Linked DNA regions of Zea mays. The main gene of each other region encodes a partner of the protein of the gene in region 2 in a complex. Links are inferred from orthologs where the notes say so. Each region holds a gene or a part of one and is shown on either strand. Other genes may lie near its edges. The genes, in order: 30S ribosomal protein S31, chloroplastic-like; 30S ribosomal protein S13, chloroplastic-like; rps4.

What was found.
Region 1: 30S ribosomal protein S13, chloroplastic-like (region 2) and 30S ribosomal protein S31, chloroplastic-like share a complex: the UniProt entries of both Arabidopsis thaliana proteins name them as parts of the 30S ribosomal subunit. The link is inferred for Zea mays from reciprocal best matches to the Arabidopsis thaliana genes EMB3137 and PSRP4.
Region 3: 30S ribosomal protein S13, chloroplastic-like (region 2) and rps4 share a complex: the UniProt entries of both Arabidopsis thaliana proteins name them as parts of the 30S ribosomal subunit. The link is inferred for Zea mays from reciprocal best matches to the Arabidopsis thaliana genes EMB3137 and rps4.

The regions. Positions count from the first base shown.
Region 1 is NC_050098.1:170,389,885-170,393,651, forward strand, and holds 30S ribosomal protein S31, chloroplastic-like, read right to left. Parts: upstream 2,533-3,767; 5' UTR 2,475-2,532; coding exon 2,279-2,474; intron 1,062-2,278; coding exon 997-1,061; intron 915-996; coding exon 783-914; 3' UTR 570-782; downstream 1-569.
Region 2 is NC_050096.1:271,763,007-271,766,735, forward strand, and holds 30S ribosomal protein S13, chloroplastic-like, read left to right. Parts: upstream 1-1,329; 5' UTR 1,330-1,446; coding exon 1,447-1,542; intron 1,543-2,136; coding exon 2,137-2,376; intron 2,377-2,656; coding exon 2,657-2,833; 3' UTR 2,834-3,072; downstream 3,073-3,729. Other genes in the region: uncharacterized protein LOC100281127, read left to right, coding at 3,579-3,729. UniProt on the Arabidopsis thaliana protein: Located at the top of the head of the 30S subunit, it contacts several helices of the 16S rRNA.
Region 3 is NC_001666.2:46,501-49,116, reverse strand, and holds rps4 (ribosomal protein S4), read left to right. Parts: upstream 1-1,354; coding exon 1,355-1,960; downstream 1,961-2,616. UniProt on the Arabidopsis thaliana protein: One of the primary rRNA binding proteins, it binds directly to 16S rRNA where it nucleates assembly of the body of the 30S subunit. With S5 and S12 plays an important role in translational accuracy.

The DNA.
Region 1 (3,767 bases), on a different chromosome or scaffold from region 2:
CATGCTTCCTATGTGGGATGATGGTTATCTTTATATTTGTATGTTAATTAGTCTCTTTGCTGTTAAATTTCGTGTAAGTTGGTCCTGCCGATGGAGAATCGAGCAGCTCCCTTTTTTTGTTCTATCAACTATGCTGTAATTCTGGCTATGTATCGGCAAAAACAATTCTATATGCTGAGTTGGAGTCGGCAAAAATTCATATATGCTGAGTTGGAGACAGCAACTTGTTTGGATCATATTTTGCTGAGACACTCGTGAGAGATTGGCATAGCAAGAGACCTGAAAGTGTTAGCTGAAGTTTGAAACAAAACTTACATCATTGCAACACATATTAATAACACAACACGATCATTAGTTCAGCACGCAAGATCTTTGCACATTGCTGACGTATGAATAAATCGCTAGTTGGATTTTGTTTTACCTGTTAGGGCTGGATTGTTCGGTTAGAAGAGGATTGAAAGAGATTAAATCTTATTAATCCCCTTACAAATGAAACGTGTAATCTCTCCGTTACCACTAGATGAATCATTTAATATCTTCTAAAAAAAACTTATTTCGACACAGTTTCATTTTGAAGAGAGTAAAGAACTCAGCAGCTGGAAAGGAAAATAAAGAACCCAGTCAGTAGTAGGAACATTACTAGCCAAATGAAAGTGTGGCAGCCTACCCATCGATAATTATAGGCGAGGAAATAATTACTTAAAATATGTAGTATTTGATTTGGTACAAACTAGGCCAATTAAGCTCAGGGCAAATATAAAGCAAGGCAGAACTCGGACAACCTATTCCAGGATGTCCTCGTCAATCTCGATTGAAATGATCTCCCCATCATCGAACTGATCCTTCCTTGGAGGAGCAGGAGGGGCAAAGAGCCGCGCAGGCCCAGTTCCCTTCTTCTTGTTGCGCGGCCTCGCCTAGACATGATCAGACAGCTAAATAAAACAGAACAGGGGGAAAAAACCAAAAATGCGATGTAAATTGTGCTGGAGCACTCACATTGCCATATGAATGGTTGAACCTTTTGCCCCTTTTCGTTTTCTTGTCCCCTCTCCCGCAGTAGACTGAGCAAGACCAGATAAAGTTTAAAACTGTCTGTCAGTCCACAGGATCATCAGTATTGATATAAACAGAGGCCAAAAGGGACAGCACCCCAGTTGGGTTCGTAGTACAATCAGAGAATAAAATCCTGAAGCAGGCTATGGACACTAGAATTTCAGAAATTGATTTCAAATTATGATTAACTAAAACTTCTTTGAAGTACACGCATGAGAAGCATCCATCTTTGACTCTCTGTATTAATAAACCAGAAACAAGTGTTTACAACAGCTGAGGCCAGTGGCAACAGAGACGACCAAAACTATAGGCGGTAGTGATAAACAAGAGATTCAGCTTCCTTGATTGGCACTCACTCCTGACACCGTGTGAAGTGAATCAGTCAACCGGTAAAGGTTTAATAATCTACTACAGTAGTAGTTTTCAGTTCATATATATGCTCCTGCTCCTCGATACCGTAATTTTTTCGTGTGGAACAACTTAAGCTCTTAAGAATCCAGTTTCTAGAAACTAGTTTATAAAAAAAAAGGTTAATGGTGTTTAGAATCACCTTAATTTTTATAAATTGATTTTAGCTAGAGAAGACTAGCTTCTTGGTTTTTTAAGAAACTAGGAATCCAATTTCTATAAATTAGTTTGGAACCACGTCAATTTCTATAAAAAAAACTAGGTGCTTCCAAACAGACCCTTAGGCCATGTTTGGAAGCAACCTAGTTTTTAAGAATCTAGTTTCTAACTTCAGTTTCTATAAAGTGATTTATAAAAAAACTGGTTAATAGTTTTTAGAACCACCTCAATTTCTATAAACTGCCTTTAGCTAGATGGGATTAGCTTCTTGGTTTTTAAGAAACTGAGAATCCAACTTCTATAGACTGGGACAAAAGCTAGTATATTTGGAACCACCACAATTTTCATGAACCAGTTTGTTAAAAACTGGATGCTTTCCTTGGTCAGTCTAGTTGACCCAGATCGACTAACAGCATCACAACCTCCATCTCTTCTGGGGAGTACATTTCAGTAATAAATCCCTTGACTATTTCATAAAAAGAAGAAAAATCCCGATTGAATTGGAACGAATTTCCCAAGTGTCAGTGTAATAGTAGTCATTGCCTTTTCTCCCTTATTGCGTGGAAAACAGTAGCCATTGCTCGTGACATGTGTTAGAAAGAAACTACTCCTACATCGGACAAAAACAAGGGGAGTGAGGAGGTAGCTGTTTAATTACCGTCAAGAACTGGAGTGACGGTGGCCGACAAGACGGCGCCGACGGCGAACGCAGCCCGGGCGCGGGGGAAGGCGGCGGAGGCTGCGAGCGCGTAGGAGGAGGTGGAGACGTAGGATGAGACGGCGCCGTGGTTGTGAGATGGGAGGGCCGCGGCGGCGGTGGACATGGCCATGCCCTGGACGGCGAGCAGCGCCATGGGGGCAAGAAGGAGCGAGCAAGCGCAGGGAAGAGAGACTAGTGTGCTCGGGAATGGTGGTGTGGTGGATCAGGTTGGATAAGGGATAAAAGGGCTCGCAGTTGGAGCCACAGCGCACATCTAAGATGGGCTGCAGGGCTGGTGTGGGCTGGGCCAGAAGTAACCTTATCGGCCATTACTGTAAAGTATGGTGCACACACCTAGCCAGGCCGTCGTCGAGTCTGGTCAGGTCTTGGATCCTTTTCTTTCTCTTTCTTTTTTTTGATAATTAATATAATTAAGATGACCAAAGCTTAGCTTTGATTCATGCTAACAGAAAACAAAACCCTAGATGCTCCAGCGTCGTTCTCCGGCCCGTGCTTCTCCTGCTGAGTTAGGGTTCTGGTCCTTCTCGAATCTCGATTTCGGCGGTGGACTGGTGGAGGCAGACACTTGAACCCATGGTGGCCGGCCTCACGGCACCACCCGTGCAAGGTGCCAGCTTTCCGGACTGGATGAGCTCATGGCTTGTGCATCAACAAACCCTGAGGGTAGGGTGAGCGTCAAGGAGCGGCCCCGAGCTGTCCCCCACCCCCGTGCAGGCAATTTTCGGTCCTGGAGCTGGAGTTAGTAGTATTTGGGAGCGTGTGGCTGGAGCGATTCCAATTCATTTCAGCAACCGAAATACCGAATGGAGGAGTTGCCAAGGTCACTGTCAGGCACTCACCTGTGCACTACTGTACAGCACAGATTGAACGGTCGCTATCAGGTTCATGTCAACCGAGCAGAGTTTCAGTTTCAGTGCCCAATCATGAATAAAAAACCGATGGCCAAAATGTAGTGGTGGGAGAACGCCTCAAGCAAAGTGCCTTGCACGGAGTGGAGACGGTTCGATGGCATGACCTGACCACATGTGTCTTCTTTCTTCTGGAACCTCTAGAAGGAGAGGAACGGATGAATCCTCAACAACGCTCACGATTATGAATGGTGCAGGTGGCCACGAGAATTGAAGACGATATATATAGAGCAGAGAAGTAGAGGCCCCCTGATTTCTTCATTCTGAACAGTCCGGCAATTCGCCAGACGAGAAATGTCAAGCTAGTATATTATATATAAAACCCGAGACATTTTCCTTCTTTATTTACAACCATTACAGCGAGCAACGCCACCATGCAATAAAGCCAGCGCAACGGCGTGGCATGCCCACGAGAGTATCGTCTGTTGGTCGGCAACGGCTTCGCTTTGCCAACTCGATCCGCAGAGGATGGTCGGCTGCGGGTAACCCTTGTCGCTTGTACGCCGCGTCTTCTTCCC
Region 2 (3,729 bases):
CGGCGGGGATGCGGAGGGAGTGGAAGGCTGAGGGCTGAGGGCCGCGAGGTTGTGAGGAGGGAGGGAGGGAGGGGTGATAGATGATCTAGATAATATTGTCCATTGGATTTGAGTAAGGGAGAGTAGAGATGGCAATGGGTAAATACCCACCGGGTATTACTACCCCATACCCATACTCACGACACAAAAATAACTCCATCGGGTCACCCATATACACTGGCGGGTATGGATTTACCCTCATACCCTTACTCATGTGGGTATGGGTCACCCATCGGGTCACCCGTACCCACAAAAGCTAAACATCTATCAAAATATTATATGATAAAAATGTCAAGTATATCCATCTAAATACCATTACAAAATTTCTAGTATCATTTAACCATCCATTCAACACACCAAAGATAATTGGATAAAGTAGTAACACTAGGATAATACTACATAGCACATTACATGGTCATTAAATTGTCGTTAAGCCTTCTATGACATTATGGCCTAAAAGGTTGTTAAATAGTAAAAAAGATGGATGACTAAAGTCAAAGTTCATACTTGGGCTAAGTTTATATTGGGTATTTTATACCCACGGGTTAACGGGTATGGGTGAAGGCGGAACGTTCTAATACCCGTTTACCCATTGGGTGAAGATTTTTGCCCAATAACAGACCCACGGGTAGAATATTTAGCCACATACATACCCTAATGGAGTAAATACCCATCGGGTATCGGGTCGCGGGTACCCATTGCCATCTCTAAGGGAGAGAGAGTTATCCAGCAATATGAACTATGGATTTTGATGGTGTGTTAAGTCTAGATATAATTTGTTTGGAATATTTAGGGCTAGTTTGGAAACTTAAATCACCTCTGAGGTTCTTAGGGATTGAGGGGAATCCTCGGGAATCAAGGAGAAGATTTAAGTTTCTAAACTAGCCCTTAGGGCTAGTCAATAGAGGTTATGTACTTATGTGTGTATATGATTTGCCTGGTGGGTTTTGTAAATTTTAAACTGATGCATTATATATATACTCATCTTAAATAATATTCCCTCTGTACCAAAATAAAATTCGTTGTAGACTAATGCTGGATTCATCAAAGATCTGAAGGGTTTACTTTATATATGTGTTGTTTTAGTTCTCAGTGTTTATGTCTATATTTAAATGAATAAAGATAAATCTAGACACTTTTAAAATACATACATTAAATATTGTATGAATATAAGATAAATTTTAATTTAGAAGAGAGGAAATACTATTTTAGAACGAACGAGTAGAAAAAAGTTATATTTTCTATTGGGCCAACGAGTCCAAAACACACATAGGGAAAGGCCACTAGGTCATCGAAGGTTGCCTACGCATACGCAACCTTATCATCATCCGCCCTTGGGTTTTCTATCCGATAGACCGGGGACGCACAGGCCTCTCGCCCTCCGCGCGGCTCCACAGGAGAGCAAAAATGGCGACCCTCTCCATGGTCTCCGTCCCCATCGCACCCTCCTCCTTGTCCCTTTCCACCCGGGGCCGCAGCTCCTCCGCATCCTTCCCCGCTAAGGTTAGTGCCGCCTTCTGCTATACCCCTATACCCCCCTGCGTCCAGGGAGCTTGTCTGATTGGGGTGTCTTGTTTTTCTAACCCTGTACGGCCTTGTTGGAATGGGGTGTAAATTAGTTTTTTAGTTTCACTCTAATCTATATCAATACATATTGATTGTGCTGAATACGAGAGTATCCAAAAACAAGGCCTACTTGGGATGGTCGTGTCAGGAGCGTTGGAAGGATGGTCTTCTGTGAACTGCTAATTTTCAATACATTGGTAGGAAATGGCGCGTGTTGGTTCATGCATATGAATTTTCTAGCGCATTGTCAGTAATGCTAGTGTTTCATGGTACAGCAGTATGACTGATTCTAGTAGCAAAGAAAAGGATGTTTCTTTAGACTTTTGATGTGGATCTGAAATTCTGAACCTGATTATAGGAGCTGTTGTTTATTATCGCTGTTGCATTGTGCGCACAGCCTGAATACGACACAAACATGAACTTCGATACATCATTAATTTATCCCCATCTGAATGACCCTTCATACCCAGGCTCATGTTGGTGGTTTATTTTGCGGTTTTTGATTGTGCTGTATGTTGGGTGGCCTGACAGAAGGGAGGAATCGGTCACGGTGGCTTGCGGATCGAGTGCATCCGTATTGGTGGTGTTGAGATTCCAAACCACAAGAGGGTGGAGTACTCGCTGCAGTACATACATGGCATTGGACGCTCACGCTCACGCCAGATCCTCCTGGACCTCAATTTCGATAACAAGATCACCAAGGACCTCTCCGAGGAGGAGGTCATCACCCTCCGTAAGGAGGTTGGCAAGTACATGATTGAGGGAGACCTTGTAACGTCCCTGATCCCTTTGTCGATTATTCGCTGCAGTTATTTGATTCAGTAGTTCATGATGATTAACGACTTGTATGGTTACCATAGTTACTTAGTTAACATATCAATGATTCCTTGAAAGCTTTGAAGTTCATTCTGCAGGTCTGCGTATTTAATTTCACTTCCTTAGTCATAGATGATTCCTGACTGTCCTAACTGTTTAGTTTTATATCGATGTTGGACTCCAAGGGAGTGAAAACGCTGAGAGCTGGCACACTGCTGTTTGGTATGCTTTACAGAAACGTTTCAACCGTGTGGCGATTGAGAGGCTGAAGGAGATTAGGTGCTACAAGGGCATCCGGCACAAGCTTGGACTCCCAGTTCGTGGCCAGAGGACAAAGAACAACTGCCGGACACTTAAGGGAAAGAGGGCTTCAGTTGCCAAGAAGAAGTCACCCGCCTCCCAGGATGAATAAATCGTATTGCCATGTATTGAAGTTCTCTCTCTCTCTCTCTCTCTCTCTCTCTCTCTCTCTCTGTGTGTGTGTGTGTGTGTGTGTGTGTGTGTAGCGCTACTACTGCTGGGTGTTTTGTTTCGAGCTTTTATGCTGCCATTGACAAATCATGGGGTAGCCATCAGCTGCTGCAGATTTTGTAGCAATGACATACTAGCTCATATGGGTCGGTTCTATAAATGAAGATCAAATTCTTGTTTACATCCATTTGTATTCCTCTGTCCCAACCTATGCTCGATGCAAGGAGTCCAGACTGCTCCTGACGAATTACTATTTACCAGATCCAGTGTTCTGGGGATTATTCACCTGCCACTGGTATACCTGTTTTCATCCCTGCACGAGATGATCATGTGGCGAAGAGTTATGATTCGAGATCTCTCCCCTTAACAAATGTAGTTGAAAAAACAAGTTTTGGCTACCCGTCGATGGTTATGTTTTTTTTCTTGATAAGGACGATGGTTAAATTGTGTTTGGTTTCAAATAAAGATGATTTGAATCACTTGATTGAAGCCATTAAGGTTTCCTGGCATTCATCAGCCCCCAACTTGCAGAGCACGGATGACGGATGACTGTGAATTTGTGATCCCGTGGTGTGCTATTTGCCGAAGCTTGCACCGGTGCACGGACACCACCACCTGCTCCCCCATCCGGCGGCACCCGGGCCGCCGCGCCCGCGCGCTCTATCCACCACTCAAATAAACGCGATATGCTCTGCCTTGCTGGCCTGCTATTGAAAATCACACGACTTCCACCGCAATCGCACGCAAAAATCCCGCTCGAGCTTCCACCGTCTCCCTCCGCTTCCCCGTGCGGCGGTGCCGGGTCGCGCCGTGCCATGGCGCCCGCCTTCTCGGTCT
Region 3 (2,616 bases), on a different chromosome or scaffold from region 2:
CCACTTGTTTTTCAAAAAAGGGATTTGGCTCAGGATTGCCCATTTTTCATTCCAGGGTTTCTCTGAATTTGGAAGTTACCACTTAGCAGGTTTCCATACCAAGGCTCAATACAATCAAGTCCGTAGCGTCTACCGATTTCGCCATATCCCCATTTTACTTTTCTTTGAAACCAGGATTCCTTGTATAATTTAATCCATCTCTTAGTTTTTTTTGAATCATTGAATTCATTATTCGACGTAGTCTAGCAACTCATCTCTATTTGAGACACCCCGCTCGCTTATTGCAATTCAGAATTGCATTGATTTTATCGTTGATATATTTGCAATTCAATCGGAATGAATATATCCAAAAGTTTTTCTCTCTCCCGCCTCCCTCCTTCCTTTTTTAGAGTATTCCAAATCATACTATAACGCTTGATATTCATTCTTTTTTTCTAAACTGAATTAGAAATTTCATTTGCTATGATTCTATCTTCTCCTTAGTGAACTATTTATCCTTAAATTATTAACAAATAAAAAAACAAAATATCTCAAAAATGTATATAATGATCAAATGAAAATGCCAATCTCTTGGCATTTTCTCTTTATTATATTATTCATATATATTCTTCTTTTTCTTCTTTTCTATGTATTAGATTATTCCTCCGAGCCATATCAAATTGAAAATATCTGAAATCAAATTCAATATAGAATTTGGAATAGATTCTATTAAAAAAATCCATTTGCGAATTAGAGAAATAAAAAGAAAGTTCAATAAATTCTATAATCCTATTTAAGAATATCATTTAGTTAAGCATATCAAGCTAACTTTATCTTTATGAAATTCTAGTATTTTTTTTTTTCTATCTAAGTGGAACTTCCAATTTAGAACTAGTTAATAACTAAGATTAATAATTAAGATCTGACATTTTACAGATTCCCTATATATATATTTTTATTTGTTACACTATTTCTGTTATGTAAGCCCACTTAGCTCAGAGGTTAGAGCATCGCATTTGTAATGCGAGGGTCATCGGTTCAAATCCGATAGTCGGCTTTTTTTTCTATCGATGTTCTATGAACAAGAATTTCTCTTTTTCTCCGAATAAAATGGGGAATCAGGGTCTATTATGTCGTTTTACCTTACAATTTTGCTAGATACAAAGCATAAAAATAAATAATATATATACAAAAAATCCAGATGTTGATGAAATTCCATTTTTTGTGTTACTCCATTTTTTGTGTTACTTTAGTAGATTTTACTCTGTTTATCCTTTAGTTTAATTCTGTTTGAATTTCGCTGTATTCTGTAATGTAAATAGAACGAAATTTATTGTGTAAAATGAAATTTCAATAAAATAAAAAAGGAGTCTTCATGTCCCGTTATCGAGGGCCTCGTTTAAAAAAAATACGCCGTCTGGGAGCTTTACCAGGACTCACTAGAAAAACGCCTAAATCCGGAAGTAATCAGAAAAAGAAATTCCATTCTGGGAAAAAAGAGCAATATCGTATTCGTCTTCAAGAAAAACAGAAATTGCGTTTTCATTATGGTCTGACAGAACGACAATTACTTAGATATGTACATATCGCTGGAAAAGCAAAAAGATCCACAGGTCAGGTTTTACTACAATTACTTGAAATGCGTTTGGATAATATCCTTTTTCGATTGGGTATGGCTTCAACCATTCCTGGGGCCCGACAATTAGTTAACCATAGACATATTTTAGTTAATGGTCGTATAGTTGATATACCAAGCTTTCGTTGCAAACCCCGAGATATTATTACTACGAAGGATAACCAACGATCAAAACGTTTGGTTCAAAATTATATTGCTTCATCCGATCCGGGCAAATTACCAAAGCATTTGACGGTTGACACATTGCAATATAAAGGACTAGTAAAAAAAATTCTAGATAGGAAGTGGGTCGGTCTCAAAATAAATGAGTTGTTAGTTGTAGAATATTATTCTCGCCAGACTTGAACTTAACGAAAAAAGGAAAGGTTCATAGAATTTTTTTCCCCTTCCCCTTTCCCCGAACTAAATCGACCTAAGGCTCTTAATTCGTATTTTCCCGTTCACCTAGCAGAAATAGATTAACCCTAGGATACTTTTTTCTTTTTTGTTATTTCCTCGATGTGTATTTTACATACCACAGTAATTTGCTATAGAGAATTTCTATTAATTAAAGGTATTATTGTTGGAATAAATTGTTATTTAATTTGATACATTGTGATCGCTAACATTGATGAATTAAGAGAAACGGAAAGAGAGGGATTCGAACCCTCGGTAAACAAAAGTCTACATAGCAGTTCCAATGCTACGCCTTGAACCGCTCGGCCATCTCTCCTACATAATCTTATTATGGAAAATAAACTGAGTGAATAGCGAGTTTTCGTATTCCTGCAGTACAGGTACAGCCACAACGGCTCGGGAATTCCATGGCTCTATTGGATTGGATGGAAAAATTCCTTTTCATCTAAGTGGAAGGATCCTGTATTTTTTTACTAGGAATTCTGCTCCCTCGAAAAGTTTTTCTTTGGGGAAAACCAAAATAAAAAGAGAATGGAAGAATTCTTCTTATTCCATAAGAAAATAAAGGAACCCTAGAATTCCATTTGCATAAGGTACATTACGCC